Bombyx mori: one gene and its partner. The protein of the gene in region 1 purifies or fractionates together with the protein of each later gene. This does not show direct contact. Links are inferred from orthologs where the notes say so. Each region holds a gene or a part of one and is shown on either strand. Other genes may lie near its edges.

Region 1 (3,573 bases):
TTATATCTATTGATTATATTTATTAAAATAATGTTTTTAATTCACAGTGAGGCTTATATGGCCTCTGAGAACTGTGCTGGTGATCCATCTGGTAGCGCACCCAGCGCTCCCGAACCAACCATACCGGATGAACTAATTTGTAGTCTGTGTCGCGATCTTCTCACCGACGCTGTAATGATACCGTGCTGTGGAAACTCTTTTTGTGATGAATGTATGTAGTACAAGAACGAATACATATCGACGCTTGAAAGGCAAACGTGACTAAGCGACAATAACTGCTTTATACATAAATGATAGGCAATAACCATATTTGATGCGCAAAAAATATATATTTCTAGGTCTATTAAAATCATTTCAATCCTACAGCTAGATTCGTTAAAATAGAATTTTTTTCAGGTATTTCAACGTTAAATTAGTCTACTGTAAAGTTCACGCATTGTCGCTTAGTCACGTTTGCCTTTCAAGCGTCGCTATATGAGTCGACTATTATCAAAGCCGGCAATGTGACTTTTGGACAATTATTGGTAAATCAGAAAAACGAATTATTGACTATGTATTCCATTGGCAGTCACAAAACACTTCTGAACGACATCTTAGATAAATAACAGGTTAAGTATAAACCTTTATTTAATGCAGGTTTTGAACCGTATTCTCTGAAGGAGACGATTATATTCAAATCAATCTGTATTGACATATCAATAACATTTTTTGTCCAAATGCACAGATTGCCACCTTTGATAATAGACGACTCATATATAACTTTCAATACAAGAGTCGCTTTCGTTGGTTATTTATAATGAAATTTTATTTTCATATAAGGCATAAGAGGTGCGTTACTGGAATCTGAGGATCATGAATGTCCCGACTGTCGGGAAAAAGAAATATCTCCAACAACACTTATTCCAAACAGGTACCACTAGTTACATAAATTCGATATTTATTGAACTAAAAAAACTGTTGAATGTTTTTTAAAGAGTACAAAGAAATAAATGTATATCTTAAATATGTAAGCCAGTTAACCCCATTATTATATTTCTTTAAACAAACTTAAAATAGAGAACGTACCGTTTATCGTATACCTTTTAGCATAAGGTTTTGTTTGTTAGCTTCGAATTTGTCACCAATTTCTTATTGATTTGATACAACACATATCCTATCCCTCAAAGCGGAGCGAACCATTATTTCGTGGCTGCAATAGACTACACTGTAATATCGGATTTATTTTTACCTTAATTAATTTGAATAAATAAATTAACAGATTAAATTTATGCATTTGTCGAATAGTAACAGCTAATTGTTGCTAATTGTTACTAATTGTGTTGTTTTTAGATTCTTGAGGAACTCTGTGTCGTCTTTTCGCAATCAAACTGGATACAGCCGGCGAGCACCTCATCGACCCTCGGTCACGCCAGCTCAAGCCCGTGCTCCGATAAAAGGTAAGTTCCTTTAATCACCTTATTTATTATTATGACCACAGTCTTTTTTTTTTATTGCTTAGATGGGTGGACGAGCTCACTGCCCACCTGTTGTTAAGTGGTCACTGGAGCCCATAGATATCTACAACGTAAATGCACAGCCCACCTTGAGATATAAGTTCTAAGGTCTCAGTATAATTACAACGGTTACCAAACCCTTCAAACCGAAACGCACGATATCGCACGAAATAAGTATGTAGCTACCGAGAACGTTCTCTGACTGACTTGATTTAAATTACGCAAACTCGGTTGTAGCGTAAGGAAGGACTGACGATGCTTCTGTAAAATAGATTAGCGATTTCCCAATAAAATAAATAGTTCAATAGATTTTGATAGTGTATAGAATCTTTCATCAGCGATTTATAGAAATTCACATCTCATTTTCTGTAAAAAAAAATGCCGAACTAAGTAAATATTTTCACGTTATATAAAATAAAATAAATTCTTCATGACCGACGATATTCGGATATCGACGATTGATTTTGAATGTAGTAAACAAAATCGTGTATAAGATTTATTGCACCACTTTTTGACTTTTACTACATAATGCTAACTTTTTTTTTTCTTCTAACTACGATTTTCTTATCTATACTATATAATAATAATAATAATATTATAAACAGGAAAGATTTGTTTGTTTGTTTGTATTGAATAGGCTCCGAAACAACTGAACCGATTTGAAAAATTCTTTCCCTGTTTGGAAGCTACACTATTCCCGAGTGACATAGGCTGTAATCTTTTTTGAAACAAAAAAGCAATCGTTACTAAAACTCTAATAATGTTACCCAAGGTGTAAAAATTTTTCCTAAAATATTTGCATCGCGAGCCCTGCGAAAACGATTGATGATAGAATAAAATAATGTACCTACTACGACTTTGTAGAACACATTATTATTTACAAAAAGTGTCGGGACAGCATATGTCTAACTATTATAGTTATGCCGCAATAAGTGTTCTCTTATTTAAAAAAAATTAAACAACGTCAAATACCGTTGAAATTTTTGTTAAAGACCCGAGCGGAGCCGGAGCGGGCCGCTAGTTATAAATATAGTTAAACGTACTTTGAATACCAGACGCATTCGACATCTACAAACTTCACACAAAAATGTTTGTAAGTTAGAAATAATAATAACAAACACCTAAATATTTGTATCTCAAAAAGTCCCTTAAATAATTATTTTTGCACCTGCGTTTTGAAGTAACGCACAAGCATCTTCGTGAAGGGGCTGATAAATTTATCCACTCTTAGCTTCGGTGTAGCCTCTTGTAACATTTCTGTAACTAATTATAAAAATCTTAAAAAATTCATACTTATTTTCTTTTAACTCATTGTATCTTTACTGTTACATACCATACTAAGGAAAATAATACGTCGTGTATTATCACACAAAGATAGTGTTTTTAGTATGTATATGCATTTAATTGAAAGTTTGTTTAGATCAAATCGTACATTGGCCGGTTTGGTCAGAAAAAACGATCAGGTGCAACACTTGGAAACTCCTAAACTTTATATGACAAATGTGATGTGGCTCTATGTTACAATAAGAAAAATAATTGCTTCAAAGTATTCCACACCACATAGAAGAATATGATAATATTGGCTCAATGTCACAGATATTTCACACTCCCTATTTTCCGAAATCAATTAACAAATAATAAAAATATATAAGTCGTTAAACGTAATTTATTTTAGAATTTATGATCTAGAGTTACAAGGTGTTAACTGATAAATGAAGGTAGTTTTTGGTTAGTTATTTTTAAAATAATCCTGACTACCAACTAGACCGTCACGGGGAAATGAAAGTTTCATTAAATGACACAAAATCAGTTCGCATATTGAAAAGTTGTGGTCTAAAGGATAAGACGCCCAGTGTATTTGTATAATGTGATGTGACCGCGTCGGCGTTCAAATCTCGCAAACAGGTACAATTGCTTTCTAATGAAATACGCACTTTACTGATAAAAGAATGACTTAGACAACATAGTATAAACAAATCAGGTGGGCCGTGTGTTCGTCCACGCTAGCATACGTACCTACCCATTCTATCTATGGGCGTCAGCCTTGACGCTCATTGCACTGAGTTCGACTTTCTGAGAA
Region 2 (3,573 bases), on another chromosome or scaffold:
TGAAAAATGCACTCTTGCTATTTTACCTGGTGTATTGTACATTACGATTTGCATTTAAATTTAATTTTACATTGATTTATGCTACCCTCCCAATGTTACAAAAGGTGAAACTAAACAACTAAAATATTTTGTAACATAACATTTAAGTTAAATATGATTTTAGTTGTTTTAGTAATGCAATTTATTGTAAATTATTTCATGTGGAAAGCATTACATAACCTTTCATAATACTGCTAAGTTATATTATATTCTTCCGTTTGTTTTGTACTTCTACTTTTGAGGCTATCTGTTGTCGAGATAGAGCCAAATCGATAGCAAAAATATACAGACAGTGAGTTTTACAATAAAATCATATATATCATCATATCATAAAGATACTAGCAGTAGAAAATGAATATCATCAAAATCGAGTTGGCGTAGTTTACGTAGATGGATTCTGTTTGTGTACTTAAACAACACAGATTGCAGTTATATTTTGCATACAAGTAGATGTGGGTTTGGTAAGATTATGTGAGAGATGAAGTATGAAAGGATGTATAATCTTATTTATAATAGTTGATGTACTAATTAATATAAATACCATTTTTGCCCATTAACTACACTACAGTAACTTGCTTAATTATGATGTAACATGTCTGCAGCAACAAGTTTTGAAACCGTTTGTGTGATTTTGTACGCACACAAAATTTTGATATATCGTTCCGAAAATGTTGTTGTGTTTATTTATTGAATATCCATAAATTTGCGGTTTAGTCAGAAAAACAGTTACCTGTATCAGATTATTGATAGGCTAAATTAGCAAAAAAAAAAATAAACATTACATAGTCATCACATAGTACATAATAGAATCAGTAGTGTAAAATTGGCTATTTGTCCCGCTTGTGTTTGATCAATAAATTGGGATATTGAGCTGAAAGTTTTCACTTTCTGACATCCCCATCTGTAATGATTTGTTTATTCTTTTATCAGGTTTGTTACGAGGTAAGGTAATTGATTGTATTGTATTTATAGTTTTTTAGTAATTATTTTAACATATGTTTTGCTATTTTTTTGCATACATCTGAAGATTTTCGATACTTATGTTGAAGAGATATCAACATTCTTGTGCGAAATGTAGAGGCGAACAATAAATGTTGTAATACGTAACAAATAAAATAAATAAATTATATAACTCAAACAAATCGCCTGGTCCAAACTGTTTCGTCTGCTCTGTGCAAATTAATCTAAACAATAATGTAGGTAGTTTACAAAAAAACCCCGCGACATCAACTGATTGTGTAAATTATAAATAATATTTAACACTTTTTGTATGTGTGTATTTTAGAGTATTTATTTTCTTTGTAAAGGATACTTTCAACAGCTGTCGTTTCAAGTTTTGTTAATTGCATTAAATCTATCTAGTATCAGTGCATGGATACGATAATTTTGTTATCTGATTTGCACACAAAAAAAATCAGTGTGTGTTTAGCCACATGTTAAATTTATTTCTTCATTTGACTTGTGAAATACCATTTACAAGTAATGTGTTCATGTTATAATTACCTTGTTAATGGTTGTTTTCCTTCTAGTTTTTTTTCAGTATGTAACCGTTGGAGTATTCGGAGTTGTAAAAAAACTTTATAATGCAAATTATCTGTGATAAAGAAATAAATAGTATGATCACAAAAAAGCTCTTTCTTTTCACCCAAAGCTCTATTCCGGCATATTTAATGATTTAGTTGATGAAAAGTACATTGTAGATTTTTAATTCGCGTCAAAAGGTACACAAAAGTATTCAAAATATTTTTATTCACGTTAATCATCGGATCTACTATGAGACGTAAGCGCGGTGTTGTAAATTCACTTTCTCGATAATTCGGTGTTAATGAAAAAAATCTTAATACGGCGTGTGAACGGCGCTTTAAATTGAACCTTACCCCGACCGATTTTGTTTAAGTGGCATGTAAGTGGACTGGATGGCATAATAAATGATGTATGTGACTTGTGTGTATTGGCTGCCTGTTTGCAGCGTGGCTGAGTTTTGTGTAAAACCTTTTCCAGTGGGCAACGGACCAAGATATTGCGAACGCGATCTCGGATGTCGGTGTCTCCGATTTTCAAGATGTGAAGTTCTTTGAGAACAGAGCCAATGGTCAGTCCAAAGGATTCTGCGTTATATCTCTCGGTTCAGATCAATCAGTCAGGATGGTGATGGAACGTCTTTCTAAGAAGGAGATACACGGGCAACATCCAGTAGTTACATTGCCTACTAAACAGGTAAGGTCAATGTTAACTGATACAAAATATGAGCATAATAAGTAGACACTAGATAGATAGTTTATGATTAGGTACTTATGAATTGCACAAATAGTTTCATGATGAATATACCTAGTAACCTTTCCTAGTAATAGATTAGTTTCTGCAAATATGGTTTCGGGCAATGCGTGAGTCGCGATGAGGTGTTGAAACGTGGTTTAAATTAAAACAAAAAAGGAATTTACATTTTTTTTAATAATGGATCTAAAGTGGTTAATAAACCTTTTGCAACATTAAAGCTTTCAATAATGTCCGAATCGTTTTCACGGAGGCTACTCATTGAAAAAATCCGAAAAGAAAATTTTGAATCTTAAACCACCGCGACTTTGTAATGGTTATGGAGATTGGCTTCTGTTAATTGATTTGCAAACCATTTGGTAAAATTGAGGAGTAAATAGCTTCGGCCATATGATAGCTATTGACTTCCACATGGTTTTGAGATGGTGGACAGTAGTATCTAAGTTAGTATTTGTAATTTTTTTGTCCATCGGTAATTAATATAGTCTACCGATATTAATCAAAATAATATAATAGTTTTAGCAGCGTAGGAAATATATAGATGAATTAATTCGGTTCAGTGAAAGTAAGTAAACTTTGATAATGTCTACAGGCGTTGAATCAGTTTGAAAGTCAGTCAAAGACCAGGTCGACGCCTCCTGGTCCCAATAATCCTGGAATGAGAGGACCCCATCCAGGCGGGCCGCCTGGTCCTCATCCCGGAGGTACATATTGTAATCGTATACTAATACGTCTCGATAAAATATTCGAAACATCAAAAGTAGAAACATATCATTATTATTCTAAAGTCGTCGTGGCCTAAAGGATAAGATGTCCGGTGCATTCGGAGCATTACTCTAGCGATACACCGGTGTTCGAATCCCGCAGGTGGGTACCAATTTTCCTAATGAAATATGTACTTAACAAATGTTCACGATAGACTTCCACGGGGAAGGAATAACATAGTGTAATGAAAATCAAACTCGCAAAATTATAATTTGCGTAATTACTGGTGGTAGGTAGGATCTCTTGTGAGTCCGCACGGGTAGGTACCACCACCTCGCCTATTTCTGCCGTGAAGCAGTAATGCGTTTCGGCTTGAAGGGTGGAGCAGCTTTATAACTATACCTTAGACCTTAGAACTTATATCTCAAGGTGGGTGGCGCATTTACGCTGTAAATGTCGATGGGCTCCAGTAACCACTTAATACCAGGTGGGTTGTGAGCTCGTCCACCCATCTAAGCAATTTTTTTTTTTTATTGACTAATGGGTAGTATATGG

Evidence for each region. The genes of interacting proteins can lie anywhere in the genome.
Region 2: the proteins of E3 ubiquitin-protein ligase RBBP6 (region 1) and cleavage and polyadenylation specificity factor subunit 6 purify together in Homo sapiens (affinity purification with mass spectrometry; 3 studies listed by BioGRID and IntAct, with this or other methods). This does not show direct contact. The link is inferred for Bombyx mori from reciprocal best matches to the Homo sapiens genes RBBP6 and CPSF6.

Annotation. Positions count from the first base shown.
Region 1 is NC_085123.1:7,885,332-7,888,904, forward strand, and holds part of E3 ubiquitin-protein ligase RBBP6, read left to right. Parts: intron 1-47; coding exon 48-211; intron 212-819; coding exon 820-910; intron 911-1,329; coding exon 1,330-1,436; intron 1,437-3,573. UniProt on the Homo sapiens protein: E3 ubiquitin-protein ligase which promotes ubiquitination of YBX1, leading to its degradation by the proteasome.
Region 2 is NC_085120.1:8,924,726-8,928,298, reverse strand, and holds part of cleavage and polyadenylation specificity factor subunit 6, read left to right. Parts: intron 1-2,040; coding exon 2,041-2,256; intron 2,257-2,905; coding exon 2,906-3,017; intron 3,018-3,573. UniProt on the Homo sapiens protein: Component of the cleavage factor Im (CFIm) complex that functions as an activator of the pre-mRNA 3'-end cleavage and polyadenylation processing required for the maturation of pre-mRNA into functional mRNAs.